Linked DNA regions of Struthio camelus. The protein of the gene in region 4 purifies or fractionates together with the protein of the main gene of each other region. This does not show direct contact. Links are inferred from orthologs where the notes say so. Each region holds a gene or a part of one and is shown on either strand. Other genes may lie near its edges.

Region 1 (7,153 bases), on a different chromosome or scaffold from region 4:
AAAAACAAATAAAAAGAATACTTCCCACTATTTAAAAATTCTGAACTAGAATAATGGGAAAATACTAGTGTTTCTTCTACTGTCATTATATCAGAAAAACTTCTGGGACACCCTTAGTTGGTCCCACTGGACTTTTCTTTATCTTCATTCCCCTATATTCTCATCTACGAACTTTCCAATTTAATTCTTCTAAGGATGCTATGGTACTAGATTAAGTGCATGAAGATAAGACTGAATACTCCATGTTACATGAATTAAAAAAATAATAGTCACATCTCCATCAGTCTAAACCCTTGTTCTCTCATTTGAAAAAATCCTTTTGGTAATAATAGCTACTGAAAACGTGGTAAGAAAGTAATAGTTTGAGTAAATCAACTAAATAAAGAACTATCAAATTTTAAAATCTGGGGGCATTTTCTTGTCTCAAGGAAAGATAGTGTGCTATTGCAATAACAGCTAGAAATTGCAATTCCACCTAACTCATACAAGGATTTAGCATTGTTGCATTCAGCCTATGTGAATTAGGAAAGCATTAACCAAGCATAGAGTGGATTAGGATAAATACTATTCAAAAACTAGAATGCAGTCTTGGTTTTACTGTCTGGACAGAAATGGGTATCTTAATTACAAATTATTTCCCCACATTCTGTCTTTCAAATTTATCCCACTCTTCTTTATTCCTTAAAAAAAAAAAAAGCATATTCTCATCTGCTTCTTACCATCGGTCCATCCATGCTACCGTGGATTTCCGCAGGTTTCATAAGTACTGATTTTTTGTTCCCATGTCTAAGTTTGCCTTGTAAGTGCCCTGCTGTATCTTCCCATTATATAACTCCAGTCTCTTGTGATTTCTGCTTTCTTGTTTTGTTATTGAACTACTTCAAAGAAGCTTATAATTTTATCATTATTTTAAGGCAACTCCCATACATCCCAAAAAAGTAAGACATGGAACAAAAAGAGCAACGGTGGGAACTGATAATTGATAATCTTTCACTCCCCTTTAAACATGTAAAAACACATTAAGCTAGTAAGATTAGCTTTAAAAGAGTTTCCATCAGATTTGTCACCCAAAAGTGAAATTACCAGTGTTTTCTTGCCTATATGTGTGAATGCTATATGTAAAACATGTATCCATCTGTATTCATGCTGGTATGTCGGGCTTCATGTCTGACTCAGCTTCAAACTGAATAGGAAATTCACAGAGCCACGCTAGCTGTAACCCTACCATAGGGCCGGGGTGTTTGCCAGGCCTTTGGGGAAGGGAACCTGAAACCCTATTTTTCTCCTCCATAAACTCACAACTACGCTGTAGGAGGTTTAGGAAGAAAAGAAAAAAGTGGAGAAGTAAATTGGTCTACAGTACCTCCGAGGTGAGACTTACAGTTGTCGGTCACTTCCACAGAATCTACTGCGTACACAAGCTTTCCCAGTGAGAAGCAGAGATGCTCATATCCCAAAAGAAGAAGCCGTAAGTTTCTTTATCCGAGTCCACTAACTGACTTGAAGACAAGAACGGAGAGCGTAAACTTTGTGCTGTATTGGGAATCAATAGACTCCTCAGCTTACATGGTTTGTTATCTGAAGCCCGTTTGCCGAATGTCTGAGCAGCTACATATTGGATTAATTGTTTCCCTTTTTTTTAGGATCAATGTTTAGAAAAACAATGCAACATGTTTACAAGTATTCATCAGATAGCAATGAAATCAGGTAACAATGCAGGCCCAATGATTACTGGAAAGTCAGCCACGTTTCTCGCCTAGATTAACAGTATCCTGAATTCAATTATATCAAAATTAGTAAGATGTAAATCTATATCACAAAAGCTTGTTTTTCATCAGAGAAGGCAGGAGGCAGTTCATCAGTATCAGTGCTGTTTCAGTGTATCCAGTGGTTTAAAATGCAAAGATCCCCAGGCACTCTCTAGGGTAGATGTACTTGGAAACTCAGAAAGCTTTACTAAAAATACAGATTTAACACTCTCTGGCAGTTTTCAAGAATTTTGCATAGCGGAAAGGTTTCCTGAAGCTTAGGAAGATTATATGCTGTTTTAGTGTGAAAGGCATAGCTACTTCTTGTGAAGCACTGACAATCCCAGAAGGAGACTTAGTTATTCTTGTCTCTCCTTTACAATCCTTAAGCAAAGCTCTGATTCAGATAGCACATTATACTCCTTTCTGTCTAGTTCCTTTAATACCTAGTATCTGTCTAGTATCTGTTTCTGAACCATGAACAAACTGAATTCAGGAACAGGAGATCTTTCACCTAGTAACTGCAATCATGAAACCCAAAAAGTAGAGGCACACGTGGCTCCAAGAGCCAAGTGGCTCTTGGTCTTATTACAGACTACTGAACAATAAAGCTGTTTTCCAGCATAGTGAATCAAGAAATGTTTTCCTCCAATTTTCCAAGAAAATGCAATTTTTGCAAAAATTTAACATTGGTACATACGGATGATTTTCACTGTTTATAATACTGGTTTTAGTTGTCAAGACTGGATGGGGGGCGAGGGGGGGGGAGGGGGCTCACAAATTCTTCCTCCCACGTTGTGAGGTTCTAACCCTGACATTTATTCATTCAATGGCTGGAAACCTTCTTGTCATTGCCCGGTTCACTCTTCCGTCTCATTAAGCATAGCCAGCAGATCCACAGTTCTCCATATAATACAACTCTCCACATAACAGATATCTTTGACTCGCTTGCCCCTCAGCCTGGGATTGCATATTCCATGCTTACAGAAGCTATGAATGTGATCGGCTGGCCCCTCCAAGCTCTTAGGAGCTCTTCTTCTACTTTGGACATGACTTCCATGTGCCCTTTCCAAATACAAATCCTGGCTTTGCCTTTATTTCAACATCATCGTCTTTGCTGATAATGCAGGCAATTTACTTAGTTTGGTACTCTCCTGGCTGCATTTAATAGCCTTAATTCTATTCTCTTTTTTGATGTATCTGTATCTAAAGAATAATCTTCAGTGCTATTTATAACAACTACATGCTATTAGCTCATTAGTGACAATTAGCTAATAGCTAATAATGCCTAATAGCTTATAATATGAGTGGCAGCCTATGATACCTTTCTAGTGTTAGTCATACAATTCAGCACAGTGTAATGATTTGGGTGGAGGAAGGGGCTGGACATACAATTGCATGTTTTATAGATATACCAGATAGATCTACAAAATCAAATTTTGTTTTCCGCTGTTTGCAATCAGCACTTGCCACCCCCCCAGCACAGTCTTCTATACAATTTTGATTTGGTGAAATCTGTATACAAGTAGGAAGGTAGAAAGGGGAGAATTCTGCTAATGTGATGTAACCCATGGACTCACGCAGCTTTTGGTCGGATATCGTATGTCCCGTTGCGCTGCTTGTACAAGCATCAGGTTTTGGCAAGACGGAAACAGACCCAGTAAATTATCCCTTGGTTTCTGTACAGGTTTGGGAATATTCATGCATGTCACACAGCATATTTACACTCCCAACAGTGTTTGCACAATAATAGAGACTGTATCATTGGCGGAATCCAAATCACTCATTTGCTAGCTAGGTGTCCAACATCTCATTATATCTCTGTTTAAATTAAAACGCTAACAGGAAGCGTCACACTAGTTCTTCCTTCCAAAAGTATGGTCTCCACCAAAACCCTCCTTCAGACCCATTTTGAAATATGGTCTCCCAAGGCTGAAACGGGAACGGGAAGGACGCGGACGCCACAACCAGCACGCTGCTGCACCAGCACCACTGCGGCACCAAGCGGACGCCCCGCGCCCGCGCAAGCCCCGCGGGGCAGCGCCGAGGGGCGGGGCCTGCGGGAGAGCCGAGCGGAGGGGGCGGGGCCTGCGGGGAACCGGGCGGAGGGGGCGGGGCCCGCGGGGGAACCGGGCGGAGGGGGCGGGGCCTGCGGGGGAGCCGGGCGGAGGGGGCGGGGCCTGCGGGGGAGCCGGGCGGAGGGGGCGGGGCCCGGGGGTACAGGGCGGAGGGGGTGGGGCCTGCGGGGGAGCCGGGCGGAGGGGGCGGGGCCGGGCGAGCGGGCAGGGCTCAACGCCAGGCAGGGAGCCAGGCTTTCGGTCGGGGTCGTTCCCCTCCCCCCTCCCGTCAGGCTATAGCCGTGCTGAGTCATCGTCCCACGGCCCCGGGCTCCCCTCCCCTCCGCTCCGAGGAGGACCTGCCTGAGAGGACAGAAGCGGCGGGAGCCGGCAGCGGCCCCGTCCCGCCGAGCGCCCTGGCTCCCCACGCCCCCTGCCACCCTGCGGCGGGGGGGGGAGGGAGAGAGACAGAGAGAGAGAGGGGGGGGGGAGGCTGCGCGCATGCGCGCTGCTTGCCGCGCGGTGACATGAGAGACCTCCCGGCCGCTAGGGGGGCAGCAAAGGCCGCGGCAGCAGCGGCTGCGGCGGGTTCGGCTCCCCGCCCTGCGGATTGTGGGAAGGGAGGGGGGGGCGAGGGCGTCTCCCTGGTCGGCGTCACTCCCAGCATGCAGCGCGGCCCGCTCCTGCCCCTGCTGCTGCCGCTGCCGCCGCCGCCGCTGCTGCTGCTGCTGCCGGGGGGAGAAGATGGCGGAGGGAGGCGCGGCGGATCTGGAGACCCAGCGCACGGACATCGCGGCGCTGCTCAAAACCGCCCTCCGCAAGGGCGACACCTGGTGAGGGAAGGGCCGGGGGACCCGAATGGATGGACGCGGGCGGCTCCCTCCGCCCCCGGTGCCGCCGGACTGGCGGAGGGACCGACCTCCTTCCCTCCGCGCTGGCCGCGGCCCGGCCTCCTGCGTGCTCCGTGGGAGGCGGATGACAGGGCGGGGGGAAGGAGGGGGCAGCACCTCCCTCCCGGCCGGGGGCAGGCGCCGAGGTCGGCTCCTTGGCGGCGCCGAGCGGCGGGGGAGGGAAGAGCAGGGAGCGGCGGTGCCGGAGCCGGATGGCGGCCGAGGACAATGAGGGGCCCGGGGGCCGCGGGGCGCCTGCTCGGCCTCGCGGGGAGAAAGGCGGCGGGAGGAGCGCTCCGCTGCCGGGCGGTTCTGCCGTCCGCCAGGCTAAAGGGAGGAAACGGCTCTGGCGTCACCTTCCGAGTTGCCAAGAATCATATCTATAGCGTAGGGGTGTCGCGGTGAAGCCCGTGCTCGGCTGCGGTAGGCCTCAATTGGAAACTTCATTTTCACTGTGGCCGTGTTAACTGCATAAAAGAAGCCTTCCCCGAAGGTGCCGCCAGGCCCCTAGGAACGCGTGTTCTGCAGCAAGCATCTAAAAATATATGTTTTTTTGACCAGTGACAAAATATTTCTTAGTATGCCATGCGGATTGCCAACAGAATAATCCGTGGTTGAAAAGCATTAGGCAGGTTAAACGAGCATCTCTTTCTAGATGTGCTTGGTTAATTGAGCTTCTGTGATTGAGTTCTTTGAGGCTAGGAAGCAATTTTTTTTTTTTTAAGACAACAGAAAAAGGAACTGATGTTTTTTCCACCGCTCAACCTCTTCATCTTTTCCCTTGTGAAATGATCACCTAAATACAAAGGCTAAAACACAAACTTACAGAAAATTAAGTTACAAATACACAAAAGTAGAACTTGCCCACCTCATTTCAGCTGTCATCACTCACTGTTCCAGTTCTATAAAAGACTATATTTAACAGTGTTGATACTGCAGCATGTGTCAGAGCCATACATATATTCTGATGCATTATTCAAGTACTGCCGAGTATACGTTCACTTTTTGGCATAAGAACAGGCTGCTCTTAAACTGAGAAGTATAAGCAACTAGAAAAAGGAAATCAATTCACATGGTGATGTTGAAAATGACCAGTGGTAGTACAAGGCTGCTTGGACTTGAAATGTTTTATTTTAAGAGATTTTTCTTTTATGAGTCTGTTGGGTACTTTCCAAGTACTGAAAGATTTCTCAAATGGTTAATATTATTCAAAATGAAAATAACTTTATGACTGTTTACATAACGACTAAAAACAGTAGGTTTCTTGAGCTACATTTTTAGTACATTAAACATTTTAACATATGTAAAAATCAAATATACTCGTTTGGAAGCTTATTTCCCCAATTAAGTATATTTAGTATATTTGTATTAAGTATATTTAGCTGTGATTGTTGTCTAATATTAATCTCATATTCTAATATTAATTGGATGTTTTAAGGCTGAAAAAGCTATGATAAAGTCTTAATAACTTTGACTCTTCCCCTAGTAAATCTAGAAACAAAAATGTGTGTACATGTTCATTCGTAGGGTAGTACTTAGAGCTATGTATTTAAGATTTCACAAGTTGAAGAATATATTTAGTCCAGATATGTTATTCAGAGATGTTTTGGTAATAGCTTTTTGATTTTGAGGGGATGGGGTCAATAAGGAAATGTAATAGTTAAAGCACTGTAAGTCATGATTCAAAATTGCAGTTTCATTCATTCAGTAGTTAGTATTGCTGAAAAAGAATGTGAACAATGATATATAACAATTCAATGAGCAGCTTGTTTTGATTGGGCCTTAAAGCACTGTATGTAAAATACAATCCTTCTAAGATTAGCAGCTTGTACTGAAAGTTTTGTCTCAGTTATTCAGAATTTAGAGTTTAGAGGAAAGCAATAAGCTATATAAAGAAAGTATCAAGCTTTGGGGTTTTCCATTAGTAAAAGAGAAAACCGAAGAATAGGACAAAGAGAGGCAAATCGTTTATTATCTGTAATGAGGACAATGAACTCTTCATTAGTTCTTCACGTTCGCTGCAGAGAGCAGGAAATGAAGCTAACTTTAAATGCAACATTTTTAAAGTTAGATGTTAGCTAAGAATTGGTAGAATAGTGAAACAGTTGTACAATTGATTAAGCTGCAGAATTTGTTTCATAGGGTGTTTGTAAGAATAGCTTGGGCGTAGTAGAGATGAAAAAGTATTGCCCCAATGGATGGGCAAGGTGAGTGTCCTTTGACTATTTTGTCCTCGGAGACAAGATTTTGGGCTAGTTCATCTGGAGTGGCCTTTACTGCATTTTTAAACTCCTATTGTTATAGACAGTTAATAAATTAAAAGGTTGAAGTAGGAGAGACTGAGGATTCTTCCATCTCACCCTTTTTCTTCTAAACAGGTATGTTAATTAAACATCAAAATTAAGCTTTTCCAGGGCACAACCTTACTAGTACTAGTGAATTCAACATTATAAACCAT
Region 2 (7,983 bases), on a different chromosome or scaffold from region 4:
CCTGTATGGCTCTGTTATGTAGCATAGGCACTTGTATGGCCCAGCTGCATAGGATAGGGACTGCATGGCACAGCCACATAGGACAGGGCCCATATGGCAAAGCTACGTAGGACAGGGTCAGTAGGCACAGCTATGTAGGATGGGGCACGACTACATAGGGACTACAGGGACTGCATGGCCCAGCTACCTAGGACAGTGACCGCACAGCGCAGCTACATAGGACAGGGACCACACGGCACAGCTACGTAGGACAAGGACCATATGGCCCCACTATGTAGGACAGGGACTGCATGGCCCAGCTACGTAGGACAGAGACCATATGGCACAGCTACATAGCACAGGGACCACACGGCACAGCTACATAGGACAAGGACCATATGGCCCCACTATGTAGGACAGGGACTGCATGGCCCAGCTACGTAGGACAGAGACCATATGGCACAGCTACATAGCACAGGGACCACACGGCACAGCTACATAGGACAAGGACCGTATGGCCCAGCTATGTAGGACAAGGACTGTATGGCCCAGCTACGTAGGACAGGGACCATACGGAACAGCTACATAGGACAAGGACCGTACGGCCCAGCTACATAGGACAGGGACCATACGGAACAGCTACATAGGACAAGGACCGTACGGCCCAGCTACATAGGACAGGGACCATACGGAACAGCTACATAGGACAAGGACCGTACGGCCCAGCTACATAGGACAGGGACCATACGGAACAGCTACATAGGACAAGGACCGTACGGCCCAGCTACATAGGACAGGGACTGTATGGCCCAGCTATGTAGGACAGGGACCACACGGCACAGCTACGTAGGACAAGGACCATATGGCCCAGCTATGTACGACAGGGACCATATGGCACAGCTACGTAGGACAAGGATCGTATGGCCCAGCTACGTAGGACAGGGACCATATGGCACAGCTACATAGGACAAGGACCGTATGGCCCAGCTACATAGGACAGTGACCATGAGCACAGCTACATAGGACAGGGACCACACGGCACAGCTACGTAGGACAGGGACCGTATGGCCCAGCTACGTAGGACAAGGACTGTATGGCCCTGCTACGTAGGACAGGGACCACACAGCACAGCTACATAGGACAGGGACCACATGGCCCAGCTACATAGGACAGGGACTGCATGGCCCAGCTACGTAGGACAGGGACTGCATGGCCCAGCTACGTAGGACAGGGACTGCATGGCCCAGCTACATAGGACAAGGACTGTATGGCCCAGCTACATAGGACAAGGACCACACAGCCCAGCTACGTAGGACAGGAACTGCATGGCCCAGCTACGTAGGACAAGGATCATATGGCACAGATACATAGGACAGGGACCGTATGGCCCAGCTATGTAGGACAGGGACCACACAGCACAGCTACATAGGACAGGGACCACACGGCACAGCTACGTAGGACAAGGACTGTATGGCCCAGCTATGTAGGACAGGGACTACACGGCACAGATACGTAGGACAAGGACCGTATGGCCCAGCTATGTACGACAAGGACCGTATGGCCCAGCTATGTAGGACAGGGACCACACGGCACAGCTACGTAGGACAAGGACTGTATGGCCCTGCTAGGTAGGACAGGGACCATATGGCACAGCCACGTAGGACAAGGACTTTACAGCAGAACTACATAGGATGGGGTTGCATGGCACAGCTACGTATGGTGGGGCCCGTGCGGCACAGCTACGTGGGACAGGGGCCGTATGGCCCTGCTATGGGCCGACAATTGGCCCTTCCTGGGGCTTGCAGCCGGCAGGGACAGCGGGCTGAGCAGGGCAGCGGGGATGTCACAGCCGGGGCCCGACCCCAGCCCGGCGCCCGGCCCCCCGAGGGAGCTCGCCGTGCCGGGGACGCTGCTCCCGCCGGCCCCGGCTGCTGCTCCCTTCCCACCGCCGGCCCCGCACTCCCTGCCCGCCGGCGGGGGCACTGCCACCCCGTCCCCCGCCCCGCGCCGCCACCGGGGTCGTGGGACCGGGGCGCACCGCGGGGGGCTTTGGCTCTGCCCCAGCCGCTTGCTAAGAGGGCGGAAAAGCCCCCAGCCCTACGGCCGCCTGCAACCACGGGGGTTTCCAGATCACTCCTCCTCCCTCGGCTCCCGCTTTCGGCGCCCGCCTTGCGGTGCCGGGCAGGTCACGAAGGCGCCCCGGTGCCTCCGCGCTCGGCGAGGCGGCTGCGGCGGCGGCGGCACCTCGACGCCCGCCGACGCAGCCCGCGCCTGGGCGCCGTCTCCCCTCCCGGGTCTCCCGGGGCCGGCAGCTCCCCCGCGGCAGGGCCAGCACGAATTTGCAGCCGGAGCGGGGTTTATTTTTCCTAGCGTGACGAAACGCAGCTGGGACGTGGCCCGAGCGTCGCCGTTCGCCGGCGAGGCGGAGCGGCGAGGGCGGCTTCCCGGGTTGCCATTCCCCGTTTCGCCGCGGCCCTGCGGTGGGGACAGGGGGCCGGGGGGGCCGGGGGGCACCGCGCTGGCCGCTTTCTGCCTGCCTCCCTCCTATTCCCGGCGTGGTACAGCGCCGTTTCCGCCGCGCGACTCCGGCTCTCGGCGGCACAGATTTCCCGAGCAGTCCCCGAAACGCCGGGACCTCGCGGAGGCCCTGCTCGCCCGCGACCTCGCACCCACCGCGGGGTGGGGTGGGGTGGGGTGGGGTGGGGGGGTATGGGCCGAATCGGCCCGGTGGCGGCGGGGGGGGTGCGAGGGGGCATGGGGGGGTTGGCCGGGAGCGCCCCCAGCCAAGCCACCCCGGCGGCAGCACCCCAGGGAAGCGGGGTGGGGGGTTCCCGAGGACACACTGGGGCAGGCGACGGCGGGCGGCAGCACCCCGGCCCGGCCCGCGGCAGCACTCACCGGCGCGGCCGGGCGCGCAGCGCAGCAGCAGCAGCAGCAGCAGCGGCGGCAGCAGCGGCAGCAGCGGCGGCGGCGGCAGCGGCGGCGGCGGCGGCAGCGGGGCGACGCGGCGCCTCGGGGCGCCCATGCTGCCTGCCCGGGCGCTGCGCTGCCCTTAGCCCGTGTCCGGAGGGGCCGAGGGCTGGCCGGCGGGGCTCGGCGGCGGGCCGGGGAGGCGCAGGCGGAGGCAGCCGGGCAGCTTTCGCCGCTCCAGCCTCGACGGCGCCCGGTGGCGGCGGTGGCGGGCCGGGGCCGGCGGTGGGGCCGGGCCGCGCCGGGGAAGCCGCGGCAGCGCCCGAGTGTGCGAGCCCGGCGCCGCGCTCGGGCTGATGACCTGCGGCGGCAGGAAATCAACTCCCTTTAGAGGAGGGTCCGCCGAGCCGAGCGCCTGCCAAGAGCGGGGAGGAAATGCCGCTTCGCAGCGGCCTGGAGCCTTGCCGGGAGGTCGGGGAGGGCCGGCGGGCAGCCGAGGGCTGCGCTGCCCCCGGGGGTGCTGCCCCGCCGGATGCGCTGGCTGTCTCCTATGGATTTTGGGGTGGGAGGGGGTGTGTTGCCCGATGGGACCCCCCTCCCCCCAACCCCAGCCGGGGGGGGGCCCAAGCGCCGTGCCTCAGTTTCCCCATACTTGCGGGTGCTGGTGCGGGGCAGCGCTGAGCGGCTGCGAGGACCCCGGGGCACCCGGCGAGACCCCCCCGGGGACCTCCGAGCGCGGCCGGCTCTGCAGACGGGCAGGGGCACCCACCTGCCTGGCAGGATGCTCCCCCCCCCCCCCCCCAAAATGCAGCCCCACATGCAGCTCAGGGCCGGCCTGGGGGCTCGGGCAGGATGGGGACTGTCACCACCCCACTCCCCATGCGCCTGGCGAGGAGGGGGACGGTGCTGGGCAGCCAGGCTTGAGCCCCTCCGGAGCTGCCCCCCGACGAGGGACCCGGTGCAGCCCCTGCTTCGCTCCATCCCCAGCCGCCCCTCTGGGAGATGGACGGCAAGGCCTGTCCCGGCCTGGCGGGATGTCCCCTGGGACGTGTCCCCGACGGTGAGGTGAGCAGGCAGATGTCTCCCGTGACAGAGCACTGCCATCTCCTGGGGACCGCGGGGACGGGTGCTCAGCCGGGGCCGGTGACCAGCCGAAGGCTGCTGGGGCCGGGGTGCCTGCTGCCCCCTCTCCCGGCCCCAGCGCCCGGCAGCTCCATCCCCGCTCGCTCACTTGGGAAACTGAGGCACGCTCGCGCCTGGCCCGAGGCCACAAAAACGGGATGGAGGCGCAAGGGAGAGGGGTCGCTCCCCATGGCCCAGCCTGCGGTGGGCCCCCCCTCAAACCCCCTTGCTCGTGGTGGCCCTGTGGCCGTCCCCGTTTCGAGCCAGGCTCCTTCGCCCCCCCGGCCGCTGTACGAGCCTGACGGGGCTCGTTTTTAACTTTATGACTTTTATTTTTTTTTGCCCCCCCACTCGTTTCCTTCCTCGACACCGTCTCAGCAGCTTCGGCTGCCTCCAAACAGCCTCCTTTCTCCTGACCTTCGCTTTGCTCGTCGCCTGATTTACAGCAGCCCGAAAGCGAGCGGTGCCAGGGGCAGGCCGAGGTCACGGCTCTGCCGCCTCCTGCCCTCGCCGTAACCTGGCAGGCAGCAGCCCCGCGCCGCGTCCGGGAAAACCGCCTGCCGGCAGAGCATCCGGGCAAACCCCCTGGCCCCGGAGCCCTGCTGCAGCCGCGCCACCGGCATTGCACCCTGATGCGGCCGACAGCCCGCGACCGAAACGCCCCCTCCGTCTCCCACGTCGGCCCCCCCCGAACTCTCTCCGTGGGTCAGGGCACCCAGAGCACAGCCCCGGTTCCCCTAAAAAGCTCCCGACAGCACGATGCAAGGGAGTGTCGAGGCCGAGGCGCGGGCTGGAGCCAGCAGTGTTGAAAGTGGTGGAAATCCCCGTCCCCGTCCCCGGGAGCAGCGGGGTGGAGGGGGGGCTGGCACACGCTGGGGCACCCGGGACGCCCGGCCACAGCCCGTGGCATTGGCCTGAACCTGGCTCCCTCAGCCCCGGCAGCGGGACGGGTCTCGGCGAGGGGGTTTGGCTGCAAGGAGGCGGCCGCGGGCCCCCCGCAGCCCCGGGGCTCGGCCGATGCAGCCGGGATGCTCCCCTCCCTTCCTCCGAGCGCAGCATCCCGCTCCCCCCGGCCGCGATGCCACCGGGCGGGATAAACAGCCCGTTTCCTGCCCTTAATCAGCCTCAGAAAGGGGTGTGCGGAGGGAAGGGGGGGGGATAAAAAAATTTCTGGAAAGAAAAACTCATTTCCTGCGGCAGAAGAAAAAAGATAAAGTCTGGGCTCATTAAAGTGAACTTTACTGGGGAGAGACGGGAAAGAGCCAAACACAATGTCCTTGAAATTTCCTCCGCGCGGCTCTGTCCACGAAAACAGGATAAAGCCGCTTCCGCTGTCTCTGCCGCGGAGCCGGAGTGCGTGCGCGTGTGGGGCGGCGGGCCGGGCCGGCGCGGCGAGCCTGGCCCCGGGGCTCGCCTACAGGGCGTCCAGGTGGGAGCAGACCTGCTGGAAAACCTCCTCCACGGTGCCCTCGGCGTTGAGCTGCGCGAGCGGGACAGCAGTGTCAGGCTCGGGGACGCCTCGGCGCCCGGCCCCCCGGGAGCCTCCCACGGAGGAGGTGGCTCTTTTGGGGACACATTTCAGCTTAGGGACAGCTAGGGCATAGTTAAGGCAACGGGGCGGCACGGACATCTCCCGAAGGATGTCTTGGCGCCGGGATGCTGCTGGCCCTGGTCAAGGGGCACATGGCAGTGGGGGACCACCTAAAGGAGGTGGGGAGCCCAGCTGTGGGGTGACGAGGGGTCCCGTCCCCGCCACGGCACCCCGGGCCCCGCTCACCTGGCGGACGATGCCCCTGCTCTTGTAGAAGGCGATGACGGGTTCCGTGGCCTTGTAGTACGTCTCCAGGCGCTTCTTGATGGTCTCCTCATTGTCATCCACCCGGCCGCTGGTCTCGCCCCGCTTCAGCAACCGCTTGACCATCGTCTCCTTCCCCGCGTCCACGTAGAGCAGCAGCGTCGGGGCGGCGATCTACGGGCGGGGAGGACGCAGCTGTCACCAGGGGAGGCGGCTGGGATGTGGGCATGGATGTCCCCAGCCTGTCCTGCATCTCCCTCCGCGCGGGTCTGCGGTGGTGTCTCCGCAAGCAGGGCCCGTCCCCAGCCCCTCACCTTCTTCTCGAACTCCTGTCCTTGCTTCACCTCGCGGGGGTAGCCGTCGATCAGGAAGCCCTTGGACACATCCGCTTTGGCCACCATGGCGTCCCGCAGCATGTCCAGCACCGTCTCCTGGGAGCCGGGGAGGAGGGGACAAGAGGTGAGGGGGTGATGTATCCGCTCCCCATCACCCGGCACCCCCTGATCCCGGCTGCTAGCCCAGGGCTCTGGGGTGGCGGGGGACCAAGGCCTCCCCTGGACACATGCTGACCATCACCGGCATCACCACGGTCCCCCCTGACCAGCACTCCCACCACCAGTGCCCGCCCCTGCGGTTCGGGGTGTCCCGGCGGGCTCCTCCGGCGCGCAGGCTCACCAGGGGCACCAGCTCGCCTTTCTCCATGATGGCCTTCAGCTTCTTGCCCCGCTCGGAGCCGGAGCTGACCTCAGCGCGCAGCAGGTCTCCGGTGGAGAGGTGGGTGTATCCATACTTCTGCACGATCTTCTCGCACTGGGTCCCCTTCCCTGAGCCGGGGCCGCCTGCAAGTCACAGCAGGGCCCCGTTCACATCCCAGCCCAGGGGGAAAGAGCTGGGGGGGGGGCCCAAAAAGCACTGCAGACCCACAGGGAGCATCTGGCAGCCAGTGAGATGAGGTCCCCAAGCCCCACACTGGCACCCGGAGTGTCCCCACCCCATGGCGTCCCAGCCGCTGTCACCCCGAGGAGCCGAGCTGGGAGTGCTGCAGCTGCCCCGGAGGCAGCCGGTGGTTTCTACAGGTCCCAAATTTTCAAGCACGTCCTGCAAAGCCGGCTGCTCCCCTGGGCCCCGAAATTGCCCCGGCGAGGCGCGGGAGAATGGGGCTCTGCAGTCGGCCTCGCTCCCCGCAGCGGCCGACTTACTTACCCACCACGAAGATGATTTTGTGATGCTTGAGTTTTTCTGGGGGAAAAGAAAATAGAAAAAACCAGACTCAGCCAAGCAGAAGCCTGGACGGCGGCGAGTGAGCTGCTGAACCCCCCGGCAGGCGCCCCCCGGCATGGTGGGGCCGGCCCCAACCCGCCGTGGGAGAAAGCGCGGCGGGAAGCACCCGCGCGCCCCTCTCGTCCCCGTCACCTCGGCCAGCCTGAGCAGCCGAGCTGCCCAAGCACGAGCACGCGGCCCCCATGGCACCCGGCCTGCGGCCCCGGCCCCGGCGGCGCTCCCGGCGGCCGAGCCGAGGTGGAATCCCGCCGGCGCCGGGGCGCGCGGTGCCCTGGAGATGGTTGCCGGTGGCGGCTTCGTGCCAAGGGCTTTCCGAGGCCGCCCTGCCCGGGGCTGCGGCCCGCTCGGCTCGGCACGGCACGGCACGAGCTGGCACGCTGCCTCCAGCGCCTCCCTGATCCCTGAGTGTCCTAAAAATTGGCCTGCGGGCCTGGTGGCGCATACGTGGATGGGGACGGGATGGGGAGCACTAACAGCCCTGCCCCTGCTGCTGGAGCACCCCACTGGCACAGCATCCCACTGCCAGAGCAGCCCACCACCAGAGCAGCCCACTGCTGGAGTCCCCCACCGCTGGAGCACCACACCGCCAGAGCACCTCAATGCTGGAACACCCCGCCGCCAGAACACCCCACCGCCGGAACACCCCACTGCCGGAACATCCCACCGCCGGAACACCCCACCGCCAGAACACCCCACCGCCGGAACATCCCACCGCCGGAACACCCCACCGCCGGAACACCCCACCGCCGGAACATCCCACCGCCGGAACACCCCACCGCCGGAGCAGCCCACCAATGGAGCACCACTGGAGCACCCCACCACCACAGCATCCCACCACTGGAGCAGCCCACTGCCGGAGTCCCCAACCACTGGAGTTCTCCACCGCCGGCGTCCCC
Region 3 (7,788 bases), on a different chromosome or scaffold from region 4:
AAGTGCAGACCAGCACGTATGTAGATGCCTCAATCACTTTGCACCTTTCTTAAATATTTTTGCTCTTTTAGAGTTACCTGATAACATTTTTGCCTTTCTTTAAAATATTTCCTGCTGGAACATTCGCAAATCACGTCTTTCCAAACTCTCAGGTGACAATCAGCTAGTCTGCTGCTGTCTGGCTCTCCCTTCTGTCTGTGTGTGTTAAATTCTTTAATCAGTTAGCATATCTTTTTCCCATTAACCACTCAGTCAGTCAGCCCATTCCAGTTGCTGCCTGTTGCCAGCTGCAACTGGGGAAAATTCTGAATTTAGTTTTGCGACCGCATCTAGATCATCTTTCACCTTTACTTTGCCCTTCCTGCACAATGGCTGTACTCTCTTGGGGTTTTAAGCTGCTGGAAAACTTTGAGAGATCTAACATGCCTCAGAGTAAGAGACCAAGCAAGGTTCAGAAAAACCTGTGACCATCTGAGTGCCAGTAACTTTCACACGAAAGAGCTTCCTCTTAAGTGCATATAGTTCCTTGCATACAGTAATATTTGGTATTTAGCAAAGCAGTCCATGCATTTACTTTGCAAGGCTTTGGTGTTTTTCAATAGTTACATTTTGTGGTAAACGATAAGCATACCTCAACTGAAGGAATTTGAAGAAACTCACAGCTTTTTAGAAAATTTTACAGAGTGTGGGGAAGCTTCCTCAGAAAGGAAAAGAAGGAATAAGAAAATATGAAGCGTATTGTGGATGCTATCTCCATGGATTCAGCACAAAATACCTCTGTGCTGCTTTGCAACAGTTTGCAATGCAGTAAAGCAAGGCAGAATTGGTGATACGATTAAGATTCATAGTCAAATTTGACACGCACAAAATGTTGCAACCTGCTCCTGAGAAATCCTAACATAAGAGCTGAAGAGACTACATGAGGAGAGTGGATTAGCTAAGAACACCACCATGCTGAACAACAGAAGAACTTTTAGTGTCATCAGAGTGATCTGTCCTCGTGAGATCCTTACACTGCACCTGGACTGGAACAAGAAGTGTGCTTCTTTCAGGTCTCTCCCGATTGGTTTTGTACGGCACACATGCTTTATGGTGTGCCATTTATTTGTCATCACCAGAGACATGCTGTGGCCTCATACTCACAAGGCAATGCACAACACAGTTCATCCACCAGTCCTTGTCACTCCAGTCATCCAGGCTAATTCCCCCCCCCCCCGTTAACTCCTGCAGATTTTCTTTGTATAGCGTGCATCCTGACACTTTCCAACACACAGGTGAGACAAGGCTAATAACTCACAATCACATCTACAGCTGTTGTAAAGGTCTTTAATCACACTTGATTCCCATGAACTGAAATGACATAGCTTCCATATTTCAGTTTCATTTATCTCTAACATTTACATGACAATATTTGAGAAAGAAAATAAAGTCAGTCTTGCCAGAAACATGAACTATTCCTGTGCCTGAAGTTAAAAATGTTATCAAAACGGAACCTATCTCATTACAGGTATGCCCGCTGTTGAGACCACCCAACACCTTCCACTACTGCGTTCCAGGATCATTTTTCTGTTGCCTAAACTTAGATGTTTTAACCAACTGAACAAAAATTGTGTACGCTACATGTCTGACACAAGGTGAAATCTTTTGAAAGCAGAAATTACTTAGCTGTTTTGCTAAATTACGTTAGCACAAAACATGCTAGTTTGCTCTTCTTAAAAAAAAAAAAAAATCTATAACGTGGAAATTTTAACAGAGCTGGAACATGAAACCTGACAGCGGGTAGCCATGAAAATACAGATGTGTTTCTCCTCATGAAAATGTGACCGAACACTAAGCTGCAAGATTCTGTAAACTTTGTTTAAATTTTAGATAAGATACTCAGATGTTAAGGCTAAGCCTCAGGTCCATTAAGCTGGCCATGTAGACTTACTTTATATTTTTTAGGAGACCTACTGCATATCTTCTGAAAAATATAGTTCTTAAACCTGGTCCACGATGACAGGAGCTGTCAAAATATCTGCTGCAGTTATTTCAGTCTTGAGCATTTACTTCTGCTCTGACCATAGTATCCTGAGACTTCACAGAATCTTTTAGTCCTTAACTTCCTTGTAATGTAATTTATTTTCAGTTAGTGATATGCAGTTGAGAAATAGAATCTGGACTTCCTAAGTTCTAGGTTTTTCTTCCAAACACAAGAGCAGCTTTTCTCCCACATAAACACAGATTGTAAGGGATGCAGTTGGAGTGTTTTTGTTTTCCTTTACCTCTCAAATGTGTTTTTTGAATACATATTTAAAATGTTCTATTTTGGGAGCGTTCAAATTATACCTAGTCCTCAGACCCAACACACAGCTAATTAAGATTGTGTCAGTCAGAAAAGAAAAAGAAGTAACCATAAAAACGGCAACATCCTTGAAACCCTATCTGATCTTCACAACAGTGACATTTTGATAATGGCAATGATTTTGCTTTCGCTAGAGAGAGAACTCATTATTTTTGAGATACATTTCTACATCAATTCCTGAAAGGAAATGAACCTTACAAACAACTATAATTGGAATGCTCTCCTCTGTGCTCTTAATTCTTATCAACAACAACAAAATACAGGTAACAGCACCACTGTTAATAGCACCACTAAAATATAGAAGACAGCAACCGCCACTTGCTTGATATATGTCTTCAAGAGGCCTGTGAAACATAACATAAAGCCAAATGTTCAGTTAATTTTACTAGAGAACACCACCTGCCACCAAAAGTACCACTACTACTAGCCATCTTTCCAAAAAACATTAACGTTCTTCACCTTCCCCAGTATATAACATACGTGCCTAAATCTAAAAAAAAGCCTGAAAATGTTAGGAACTAATTAGGAACTAACATTAGGAACTAACTAGGTCTAAATGTTAGGAATCTGTTTTCAATCTGACCTACAGTTTCCCAGTACCTCACAAATCTATATTCGTGATCTAAAAACAAATATATTGTTTCCTCAGCACCTGAAACAGTGGCAGCAGATTATACAACAGTGATGTGCTTTTCCTTTAAGAAGGAAATACCCTGAAGTCCTCAGGTCCAGGTACAAACCTGGCCACTTGTGATTCCATGTCATGGTATGGCCACGATGTGCACTAACGGTGACTTTCACGGCCACGAAATTCAACTGTACACTTGGGTATAGCAAATGTTCATTCTGAATAATCCAGAGACTACGTATTTGGGCGAAAGCCATGGCCAACATCAATATCTAAATTAAATGCAACCTCTTAGAAACTAAGGCCCCTGGATAGTCGCATTCCTGGAGCAAGCATGTATTAAGGAGATTTTGGGTTACGCGGAACTTTCCCATTTCTAACAGAAGCCTCTTTAAATCTTTCTACACTGAACAACATACGAAAAATCAAAAAGCAAGAGGAATTCAGTACGTTCAGGACACGAGTCTGCTCCCATGCACACACAGATCAGTTGCACAACGTAATCACGCTGATCCAACCTGTTCTGGAGACTAGTCTCATCTTGCATGCGATGCAGAGTCGGCTGGCATATGCACCGTGACTGTTTGTCTGGGATTTCTGGATTGCTAGACGTTTGGAAATCCTGGTCAAATTACTTAGGATGCAAGAAAAAGGCAAGCGGGCAGCAGACAACCCAAAAGGACAAGCTATCACAAAAAAAAAAAAAAAAAAAAAGCAGTAGCTCTGGCGAAAAGGGCTTTTAGTTTAGCTTTTCTAGCAACACCCGAACCACCACGACGCGAGGCTGCTGCCCGTATTCCTCCTCGATCTTTCTCCTGGTTCATTGCTGACGCAACTTCTTCAGGCCAGCTCCGTAAAGCAGCTCTCTCTCGTTTACCAGACTTGGTATGAACATTCATTAGCATTTTAGTGCAGGAAGATTTGGGAAAGCTTACCAGATCTACTAAGATTACACACTATTAATAGTATTTTATAATAACATAACATTTTATATATAGTACTGGGGCTAAACATATCGGACGGAAGCCTGACGGCGCAGCTGTTTCAGTGCAACGCAGCGGCTCTCTCCACTGCCCCCCAGCACTGACTTCGCACCACGGGTTGTCCCCAAACACCCAGCCCCGGCCCATTTAGCACCAAGACCCAGAAAGCGTCGCCCAAGCCAAACGCACAAGCAGACACGGGCACTGGGGGGTAGGGAAGGGAAGGGCCTTAAGGTGGCCCGTCCGCTCCCAAAACAACCGCTGCGGGGCAAAGACCGAGGCCCGGCTCCGCCGCCGGCCGAGGGCCGCAAGACGAAGCGGCCGCCTCGCTGCGCGCTGCTGCCCTCGGCGGGGCGGAGCGGCGCCGAGGTGGGTGTCGCTGCCGCCGGGCCACGGCCCTCGCCGCGGCGGCCTGAGTAGCAGCCGCTGCCGCAGCGCCGCCCCGCCCCGGCCCGGCCCCGGCCCGGCCCGGCCCGCCGGCAGCAGCAGCAGGAAGCGGCGCTGATGTCGGCCGCGGCGCGGCGCTGAGCGGCTCCCCCACCCCCGCCCGCCGCCGCCGCCGCCGCCGCCGCCGGGGACGCGCAGCCCGGGCGACTCGCAGAGGCCGCGGCCTAGAGCAGCCGGCGCGGGATGCGGAGCGGGGCCGCCGCTGCCGCCGGCGGGGCCGCCGCCGCCCGCCGCCGCTGAGGCCCGCGGCCGCCGCGGATGCGGCCTCGCCCCGCTCGGCGGCCCAGGAGGCGCCTCGGCCCGGCCCGGCCCGGCCCGGCCCTCGGCCAGCAGCGGGCGGGCGGGCGGGAGGCGCCGGCGCGGCGGCGCCCCGTGTAGCCCCGCGGCGCGGCCCTGCCCTGCCGCGGCGCCCGCCGGCCTGCGCCCGGCCTGCCGCGGCCGAGCCAGGAGGGATGTCTTCTGCCGCCTCCGCGGACATGATCGAAACCCCGCCCGTCCTCAACTTCGAAGAAATCGACTACAAAGAGATCGAAGTGGAAGAGGTGAGTGAGCGAGGCCCGGCCCGGCCCGGCCCGGCGGCCGCGGCGCCTCCCCGCTCACCCACCCACCGAGCCACCTGCCCGGTGTTTTTCCTTCTCCTGGCGATGCTGCAGGGGCTGCCAGGGGCGGAGGTGCCGCGGAGCCTTAGTTCGGCCACGCGGGACACGGGGGCGAGGCGGTGTAACGTGGGGTTTTACTTACTCAGGAGGCTTTAATATGGGAGCAAACGCCGTTGTCACCGGGGGGGGGGGGGGTTTAATTCTGATTTTTTTTTTTCCCTTTTGAATCACTCTTTTTGTACTCCCCTTCTTTTTCCTTCTGCCATGCACCGGGAACGGTCATAGATCTAAAACCAGCATACTGCGGTTAATTATTTTCCTGCATCTAAGGCTATGTTAGGTGAAAGGACATATAGCTTTTTTTTTTTTTTAAATATAAGCTAGCGATGTGGCAGTGGTGGGTCTGTAACGTTTCATTTGTGACCTGCACATATTACACAGGAAGTGGCATTCAGTGGTCGTGTAGCAGAGTCTGAAGAAAGTATTCCTTCCTCTTATGTGGAAAGTTTCTTTGAGGCTAGCGTTGAATGAGTAAAGTACACCATTTCTAATGTACTTCTTGGCTGTCTGGATTTCCTGTGAGGGTAGGATGGAGGTGGTCAGAGCGTATCTTGCAGCTTTGTTAAAGGGCTCTGTACCTATACATCACGGTATTTATTAACTTTGTCTACCTCACAAGGTATTCTTACCAGGTGAGGAAAAACTCAACAGCAAGGTTTGCACTGCAGTAAAGTTGTTTCCCACAGGCCCATACTGAATTTGATGAGCTCGACTTGTAGAGTGTGGACATAACGAACATCCAAGACTGCTGAAACAGTCTTTGTGCTTTTGTTCTTAGGTTAACATCTTTGTCTCCCTCAGCAATAATTAACCTCCACTTTTTAAAAAACATTGCTGGGGAAGTGAATTTAGCTTTGTGCAGTAGCATTTAGATGTACAACAACCACATTATTGAAGCAGTTTGCAACGTATTGTATTGTTTATAATTATTGTGTTGTGCTCACACGGCCTTGAAGAGTTCACAGAACATAGACTTTGTAGTATTTCTGTAGAACGCTGGAGTACTTTCTGCTTTATTCAGATGCCGTCGTGGTAACTTCAGTTTTTAGCCACAGCAGACAGGGGAAATCCTCAGAAAATAAACTCTCTTCCAAAGGAGTGCCTTTTCCCCGTTGTGTAAACATGGCATTCATGATGGTTTTTAACTCTGTAGGTCCAACTGTTCCTCTTCCCTGTATGCATTTAACTGCTTTGAAGCAAGAGAATTTTATGGTGCTCCAGAACTGAAAGTATTTTTGCATTTGAGGTATACCGACGTTTGTATAACATTTAACAATACACAAGGATCACATCACATACTTTCGGAGAAATGGCTTGCTTTACCTGAAGAAGAAAATAAAGTTCATAGGAATTTAGAGATCATAAAAAGGTGCCCAGGGATGTCTCATAAAAGTGAGTAGCACATATAATATGTTACACATTGCACTTTGAACAAATGAAACACTATACAAATTTTTAATCCTCACAACACTCTTGGGAAGGCTGTTAGCAAGGATTATATTGCCGTTTTACTTGTAGGAAATGTGGAGCCACATAGTGTGTAATTGGTGTAACTAGAGTTTATCATTCTAAGGTTTAGGTTCTAAGGTTTCACAGTGCAGAACTTGACTGTGTCCTGCATGGCCACCAAGCACCCGCAGAGACAGGAACGTATGCACAAAAGCGTACGTGTAGTTGGTGCCCAAGCCATAATTTGTGTTTTTTTAATTAGATTGTTGCTTTATCCTCAAAGTAGCTTCTCTGCTGGAGATGGCCGCTCTTATGCAATAGAAGCTGGAGAGCTGTCGATAAAGTTTTACTTCATGAGAAAATTTGGCAGCTGCTGCACCATTTTGCTCTGTGTACCTGCCCTACCAGAAATTCTTACCAGGCAATGGCGATATGATTGTACTGAACGCAATCGAAACGTCATTGCACGGAGGAGGAAATAAGATCTACTTTGCAATAAAACAGGTGAACTGGAAACCGTGCTGTACCTTGCTTTTCTTGACTGTGGGTGTTAACCTCTTACGTGCCGTGCCTTTTGCAGGCCTACCAGACGTTGTAAATGAGGACTTGCTCTGCTCTTACGGCAGACCCAGAAATTTTATTTTTGAGTGGCTGCAAGGACTGAAAATGGCCAAATTTTAATATATTTTATGACACTTAGATATTTCAAAATGGAGTGTCAACGGATCTATACTGGAAACTCAAATGAGTGCTTGTATAATCATAGCTTTGCTGTTGTATTATCAAAGCAGTCTTGTCAGCAGATAGCAGTTCCACTCTGCCACTGGTTTATTAATAGATATTGAAGTTCTGGAATACTTGCAGGCCCTGAGTCCTTGCTAATAAATTTAAGATCCATAAGTGCACTTTCGTTTTGGTTTGGCTGAGCTCTGCTGGGTAATATCATGAATCTACCATATTCTGTTTGTGCTATCATGTGCATGACTATAATACAGGAAGTAGCACTGCAGGACAGTTATAAGTCAAGCATGTCTCCAACTTCAGGCTGCCTTTTCATTATTTAAAGTAAAGGTTGAAGTAAAACATAGAGATGATTATTACCAATCAGTCAGAGTCAAATCAAAATTATGTGACACAGTGGGAGCATGTTCAAAACTAGAAGGGGAAAGACAACTTAAAACTTGGGTTCAGCGAAACGTTCCCCACTGTACCATGCAAATTTTTGGTTGCGTGAATGTCGTCTTTTAGGTTTTCGTGTATTAGACAGACAAAGCATTA
Region 4 (7,222 bases):
TTTTCTTTAAATCCATTCATATCTGATTTCAAATGAGGTTGAATGCTGTATGTGTAGGAAACAAGCTTTGAGGCTAATGGACTCTAGAAGCTAGAAAGAAAGATTATGTTTGAGAGGTTTAATAGCTGCAGAGCAAAACTGTCATTACAGCAATCTGCTTAATTGCAGACTAAGAACTTACAACACTAATATATCCACAAACCTCTTAGCAGTAGAATAAGGAGCTTGTTAGCTGCAGGGACCAAACAGCTGCGCAGCGAGGTGGCGTATTGCTGGGCTGCCCAATTAATACCTCTGAGATACCTCTGTCGGATGTGTTTCACAGACTATAAATTAAAAGGAAAAAGGTTTCATATGACTTAAGGTTTAACTGACCTTCTGTTAATTAAGATCCTCCTGTATTTTGTTTTTGAGGCACTGATAAGGTAAATCAGGCACTGCTTATAAATGATATGAATTGAATAATTCTAGATATTTTATAAACCAGTGACTTCAACAAATTATTTTCTTTTGCCTTTTTATGATTTAGTAGCATCACAGATCTGTGCTAAACTTCCTGATTTGTGTGCTCGTAGAAAAGGCATGATAATGAACACCTTAGTCCCTTCTGTCCTGACTTGAGTAAAACTGATCAGCAAAATCAAGCACCACCTGAAATTTTTATTTTTGAAAATGACGTATTCTGTTAGTTTGGTAAATGACACATTTGGTATTTTTCTCTTGCCGAGTTCCCTGATGAACATAATTTGTAAATATCATGATACACTGACTAGTAGTTAAAAAAGCACATAAAATTTCACTTATTATCACGGAGAGAAAACTGTGATAAGAATTCTACAAATGCAGCTTTGCAATATTTGTACTTCCTCTTGCACTAGGACTAACTGTGCATATTTATCGCTGAAAGATAGTTTCATTATATTACTGTTCAGATGTTTTCAGAATTCTTTGCTTTATTAGCCTAAATATCTCTTACATTGAAACACAAATAGAGCTTTTACTGATCATCATTAATAATATTTCCTACCTTACGGCCATAATCTTTCACTTTAAAAGCTAAGAGAGATTTTATTTATTAGTGCCTGTGTTCTTAAGTAAATCAGCATATAAAACAAGGAATTTCATATCCTTGATCTTAATTGAAGACTAAAAATTTATGAGAAAATTTTATGTTTTGTATAATTATCTATCTCATCATTTGTCCCTTTGCAAAATTGGTTATACTTTAATGATCCATGTAGTTTCTTAGTAGGTGTTTTTCTTGCACTACAGAGTTTTGTTTGAACCCTCCATGCAGTCTGCAGTGTTTTGCTTTCCATCTTCTAGAAAGCAATCATAAAACCCACTCAAAAACTGACAATAATTATTACAAGAAATAAAGCTAGCACTAAGCAAACCTCAATTCTTTCATCTCCCTCCCTGTGGGAGCTGCATATTTTATATAATGCCTCTAAATGCCATATTCCAGTTCAGAAATTAGTAATGAACCTGTGTTTAAACTGCAGATATTCCCTGTAAAATAGCCCGCTCTACCTAATCAAAAAAGTAAATATTTTTTTAAATAGACTCAGTCTTTTTTAATGATCTAAACAGATCTCATAAGGCCAGATAATTTGGATTTTCTATGTTTTTTTGCATTGTGTTCTATGCATTAGCAAATGATGAAATTTTTTGCGCCTTTCTATAACCAGAATGGGGGAAATTCAATGAATTATGACATAAATAAGGCGAGGTGATATGACTGCTTCTTGCTTGTTCTTCTTAATATCTTTCCACTGATTACAACGTTGTTTCCATTCTCAGGAAGCACCTGGAGAACAAAGATGGGCTAAAGTAGACAAGAAGTGGTCTGAAGGATTCCCTTGCAAGACAATGCTGCAGCACAAACACTTACTGTACCTGGTTAAAGTATCATAAATACACAAAGGTGAGGAGTTGCTTTCTATCAGACTTGAAAAATTTGTTCAGTGAAATCAATCTTTTTCATGTTATTTTGGCAGAAAAAGGCCAAGCAGTTACCGTCGTTTTGAAAAATATGAAATTGCAGAAGAGCTATTTTCTTCTTGAATAAAATATCATTTTACACAAGGGCATATCTTGGAGGCCGTTTGCTGTGTCAGATTTCCTTACGTTGAAAGGGTGTTAAATTATCCTCTCAATTTGGGAATGAGCTTTTTCAGTCTGTAGGAAAACTGAACTGGGGTAAGCAATGAATTTGGGAAGTCCAATTGTTAAGGCCAGCACTAGGGGAGCAGGAAACTCCAAGTACATTAATCGTAAGCAGAATGTTGGGAGCTCCTTTTTTCCTAATTAAAGGCTCAAGCTGATGAGAAGCTAGTAATGGCAATGTCTGAGGTTGGAACCGAGCTGAGCACAACTTGCAGGGTGCCATGGTGAGGATCTGAGTTCTGTAGCATAATGTCAGTTTTGCCTCAGATCTGCTGTAAGCCAGTGTCTTAAGAGACACCCAAGCACAGCCTTCACTATTTTGTCCTTTGGATTGAAACTTTTTCATTGTTCCATTTTCGCAAGGAGTATGCTATGTGAATATCTAAAACACGAGCTAGCCTCATCTGCCTAACTAGCATATTTAAGGATGAATGTAACCAGGTATGTTCATAAGTTCTCCTGATTTTCTGTGGATCGGCATTCGACTGTTTGCAGATACAGGGGGAAAAAGCTGACGACTTAAATCTTCTCAGGCTGTCATTTGTATTTCATTTTTTTTCTTCATCCAACTGCTCTGTCTTATATAGCAAAGAAGACAGATTCACTATCAAACAGATTATCAAACATAATCTACTACGCCACACAGAAGGCAATGCTAAGCACCCCTCACGTGACCCTCATAAAGACAGAGTCCTCCAGTCCTGCATGGAGCAGAAGTACGGCAGGTGAGGCAAGGCATGATTCCCAGAAGAGCCCCGAGAAGCTCTTCGAGGACCTTTGCAGTTGCTGTTTTTGCCCTGAGTTTACCCTGGCTCCCAAGATCACAGATATGCACCCAGGGATCGGGATAAGGGATGGCAGAACTGTAGGTGTCTCTTCAATAGGGATCTTCTGTTCTGAAAGAATGGTGATGCCTGGTAAAAGTATTTAGTTTGTGCTGGCACTTTTCACTGCTTGCAAGAGACTTGAAACCATCTTGGCTGGTGAGCTGTCACCTGCGAGTTACTTTATTCTTTCTTTGTCTGGCAGCCAAACATCGTTCAGGATGCTATCTTACTGTCTTACTGATGCTAGAATATCATTTCACTTGAGGATTAGGCCTTTACGTATTTCTATACCTGAATAACTAAGAATGTGTTCACTTGGTATTGCCAACTTCAATATTTAATTATGGCATGAATCTGTATCAAATCCAGATGTTTGGTCTAATACTAACTGTCGCTAAGGATATTTAAAGTAAAATAGTATTTTGCTCAGCAAAAAAAAAAAATGTCACTAGAGGCTGTTCATATACGATGCTGATGGTTGCTAGGAGAGAAGGTGGAAAAGAATGAATTAATAAATATTTACCTCATTTTGAACCGTTATATTAACAGGATCCTTATGCAGATGAGAGAATGTAAGAGAAATGAGACTTTTTATAAAGGTTGTGTCAGCTAAACAACCGCAGATAAAACAGCCGGTAAATCAGCGTGACAAGGAGGCGAAAGGCAGCGCCGGGGAGGACGGTGGCAGCCGCCCTGGGCGCTGCGGACTGGGAAGCCGCAGTCCGGTGGAGGCCAGGCCTGAACTCCTGGGGCGGCGCGCGAAGCTTGCGAAAACTTGCTGAAAATGCGTCAAAAAGGGTGACTTGCAGGTAACACGTGGAAAAAAAAAAAAAAAAACACCTGTGGGCGACATGTCACCTGCCCTACGACTGGAGGGCCACGGCGCAAGGAAGCCCAGCAACAAAAGCAGTCCCGAAGCGCAGGCGGGCCCCGCAGGCCTCTGGCTGAGGCCCTGGTAAAGGAGGCAGGGGGCTGCGGGGACCCCGGGGCGGGTGGGCCACCCGGCCGCGGCAGGGGGCCAGAGCGCCCGTCCTCTGGCCCTGCCACACGCCCGAAACCCAAAAAGGTGCGGGGGAGGGGGGGGAATGTGTGAAGGTAACCGTGGGGCCTGGGGGGCGCCGGCCTCCCCCACGCCAGGATCCTCGCTGTGTCGCACAGGCCGCCGCGGGGGAGAGGGGGGGGGAATGCCCCAGGCCCCGCCCCTCGCCCCGCCCCTCGCGCTCCTCGGCTGCTGTTGTTGTTCGGGCGCCCGGCAGCTGCCGGCGGGGCGGGGCGGGGCGGGGCTGTCGGGAGCGGCCAATCAGGCGGAGCCCCTGTGTCGGTTGCACGAGCGGCCGCGGCCAGGCGGGGAGGTGCAGGCGGTGCGCGCGCTTCTCTCCGTTTCTGTCGCGGGGGGCGGGGCGGGGCGGGAGTCGCGAGGCGGAATCCTGGCGCGCGGGTGCGCGCGCGCGCGCGCCCTCGCTCTGCGGGTTCGGGACCGGACCATGGCGTTAACGGCCACTCGGCGGCCCTGGGCCCTGCGGTGCCTGGTGGCCGCGCTGCTCTTCCCCGCGGCGGCCGGTGAGTGCATGTGTGCGCGCGGGGAGGCCGAGGAGGGGGGAAGCGCGGGAGGTGGCGCCGGCGGGGCGGAGAGCGGCGGTGGTCTGCGGGTCCCCGTCGGTTCCTTTCAACAATATGGCGGAGGGGCCGGTTGGGGCGGAGTCGCCCCCTCTGCACCCCCCCCCCCCACCCCGCCCGGTGTCCGAGCCGGGCAGAGCCCGGGGACGGCGCGTCCCTTTGTTGGCCGAGGGCAGCGGCGGCTCCGAGGGAGGGCGGGGCCGCGGCTCGGGGCAGACGTGATGCGGCGGGGCGAGGAGAGGCGGCGGCGGTTCGCGCTGAGGGGGCGGCGAGGGACGGACGAGGCACCCGCCGCGGCCTCGGGAGAGCAGCCTCTGCCCCGCGCCGGCGCCTGCCTTGCCCCGCGGAGAGCAGCGCCCCGAGCGGCGTCTCCCCGGGACAGCCTGCCCCCTCACCCCCCACCCCGGCCGGCTTCCGCGCTGGCTCCGCTCCCTGTGGCGGACCCCGGCCGCCCCTTCCCCCCCAGGGGGCGAGCCGCTGTGGCCCGCCAAGGTAGCGCGGAGCGCACCCCTCCCTCCCTTGAGGTCACTGCTGTTTTGTGGCTGGAGCGGAGCAGACTGTACAAACTAACCGCTTGGGGATGGTGTCTCCTTCGGAAAACTTCTGTCTGCCTGTGGCTCCCTCAGCGGGCGAGGGGAAAGCTGCTGGGCCTGGCGGGCTCCTCGCGGCGTGTTAGCGGGCGCTCGCAGGCGGTACGGCGGGGAGGGCGCCGAGAGAGCAGTGCGGGCAGCTAGCTACGTGTTGAACGCTCCGCGCAGGGCAGGGGAAAGGCTCTCCCACGTCCCGGGCTGGATGCTTTAGGGAAGCTAACGCGCCTTGTGGCGTGCTGCCGCTGTGCCAGTTCTGAGAACTGGTGACGATTTGGGTAGGTGATCTCGGTGTTGTAGTTGAACAGCTGACCGCTGTGCTCCGAGAGGCCCAGAACACGGGGAAATGGTCTTAAGTGAGTATCGTGCATAAAATACTTATGGCCCTCTGGCCACTCCACACCTATTGCTCTCTTGTAAGAGAGAGATGATATCAGAGCTGTACCGTTGGATAGGTAACGCATGAAACGGAGGTTGTTAATGACACTCAGGAATGAAAAACTAAAGTGATTTTTTTAAAAAAAAGCATATTTTGTTCTTCACTTAGCAGTAGGGTCATATGTGGTAATGAGACTTAAATGATACATAATGCCTTACTTTAACTGATTTAGGTTTCAACATCTTCTGTATATATTAGATGATGCCAATAGATGTACAAAAGCTGTTTTTTATAGCAAGTGCCACTCTTACAAATTCTTCTATAGGTGGCATGCCTATTGCTCTGGGTTTTAAAGAGGAGAAGGAGATGTACTCTGACTTTTTTCAACTATAGCTTTAAGACATGCCTCAATCTGGTTCTTACTATGCTGCTTACGTTTCACTTTAAGTTAGTAATTGTGCTGCAAAGAAAATGTTACCTAAGGCAAAATGTAACTTGCAATACTAAAATACCATATTAATCGCCCATATCCTTATTGAAGAAGATGGAGAATTTTTGAAATGGAAGCAGTGAAGTAAGCTTAAATTACTGTGTATACACTTGAAAAGATGCATCAGCCTTCAATAATTTAAAGCTTTCAATATTAAATTTAGATATTGAGGGAAACTTTACCTTGATTTGAGCTCTGAGCCTTTCTTTTCCTGTTTAATGCCTTTGAACAATCGAGAATTTTCATTTAATTTCAGTTATGAAAGCAGTGTCTAAGAGTTTTATTTGGGAACAAGACCAGATTTCCAAGGCTAAAATAATTTTCCATAGAGAAGCTAAAGGATGGAAGTGGTGTGTGGGTGTGGTGCTCTTCCCCCCCCCCCCCCCGCTGCCTTCTTAATATCCCCATTATTATAGTCTGGGATCCTTAGTCCTTAGCTCATAGACAAGTTCTCTGAAATTGGGAATGGGATTATTTTCCCTGAACGTTGTGGTCCAAGTTGACAAAGTAGTGGTGCAACACATCCTTTGTGTACTGTTACTTAGTGTTCTTATCGTGGGTTGACAGAAGTTGGGCGTTTTCTGATAATTTCTGATGCTAGCATTAGTGCAGGAATGAATCCTCTCATGATATCACTAATGTGGAGGTCAGAAATGTCGCAGATCACAGCAGCTAGTTGAACTACTGTCAGCCAGCCCTAACTTTTAAGGCAGAGTGTGATTTTTGCGCGTGTGTGTGTAGGGGTTGGGGGGTTAACTGTTGTGAACCATAAATAGTCTTTCATCTTGCCAAAATTCTGGGAGGTCACCCTCTGGAAATCCTATATGTTCACACAATTCATTCTTATTTATGATAATGAGTGAACCTGATTTGTATGCTTAAGTCAATTTAAAAGTACAGAGTTCTTCATTTTACTTTTTTCACAAAGATGGTGAAATTACAACAAAGGGGAAGATCTAGGTTTCTAATTCTAACTTTTTTTTTGTTTTTCTAAAACATACTCTTCCATGAAAAGCACCAGAAACAAATTTTTAACATTGTATTTTGCTGTAGAGGCATGAGCACAATTCTGAGTTGCAAAAATAGATAGTGCCATTCGGCACCTACACTACAAAGAACATAACATTACTTTTTCTAAGCTAGGATCGTTCCA

Evidence for each region.
Region 1: the proteins of TGFBR1 (region 4) and USP15 purify together in Homo sapiens (affinity purification with western blotting; 4 studies listed by BioGRID). This does not show direct contact. The link is inferred for Struthio camelus from reciprocal best matches to the Homo sapiens genes TGFBR1 and USP15.
Region 2: the proteins of TGFBR1 (region 4) and ENG purify together in Homo sapiens (affinity purification with western blotting; 5 studies listed by BioGRID and IntAct, with this or other methods). This does not show direct contact. The link is inferred for Struthio camelus from reciprocal best matches to the Homo sapiens genes TGFBR1 and ENG.
Region 3: the proteins of TGFBR1 (region 4) and MAP3K7 purify together in Homo sapiens (affinity purification with western blotting; 3 studies listed by BioGRID). This does not show direct contact. The link is inferred for Struthio camelus from reciprocal best matches to the Homo sapiens genes TGFBR1 and MAP3K7.

What each region holds. Positions count from the first base shown.
Region 1 is NC_090942.1:37,752,137-37,759,289, forward strand, and holds the start of USP15 (ubiquitin carboxyl-terminal hydrolase 15), read left to right. Parts: upstream 1-4,150; 5' UTR 4,151-4,549; coding exon 4,550-4,638; intron 4,639-7,153. UniProt on the Homo sapiens protein: Hydrolase that removes conjugated ubiquitin from target proteins and regulates various pathways such as the TGF-beta receptor signaling, NF-kappa-B and RNF41/NRDP1-PRKN pathways.
Region 2 is NC_090961.1:7,687,878-7,695,860, forward strand, and holds the start of ENG (endoglin), read right to left. Parts: upstream 3,005-7,983; coding exon 2,878-3,004; intron 1-2,877. Other genes in the region: AK1 (adenylate kinase isoenzyme 1), read right to left, coding at 5,426-5,491, 5,789-5,980, 6,121-6,237, 6,482-6,645, 7,010-7,045. UniProt on the Homo sapiens protein: Vascular endothelium glycoprotein that plays an important role in the regulation of angiogenesis. Required for normal structure and integrity of adult vasculature. Regulates the migration of vascular endothelial cells.
Region 3 is NC_090944.1:50,781,613-50,789,400, reverse strand, and holds the start of MAP3K7 (mitogen-activated protein kinase kinase kinase 7), read left to right. Parts: upstream 1-4,787; 5' UTR 4,788-4,854; coding exon 4,855-4,944; intron 4,945-7,788. UniProt on the Homo sapiens protein: Serine/threonine kinase which acts as an essential component of the MAP kinase signal transduction pathway. Plays an important role in the cascades of cellular responses evoked by changes in the environment.
Region 4 is NC_090943.1:78,044,850-78,052,071, reverse strand, and holds the start of TGFBR1 (TGF-beta receptor type-1), read left to right. Parts: upstream 1-4,219; 5' UTR 4,220-4,480; coding exon 4,481-4,556; intron 4,557-5,184; exon of another isoform or gene 5,185-5,717; intron 5,718-7,222. UniProt on the Homo sapiens protein: Transmembrane serine/threonine kinase forming with the TGF-beta type II serine/threonine kinase receptor, TGFBR2, the non-promiscuous receptor for the TGF-beta cytokines TGFB1, TGFB2 and TGFB3.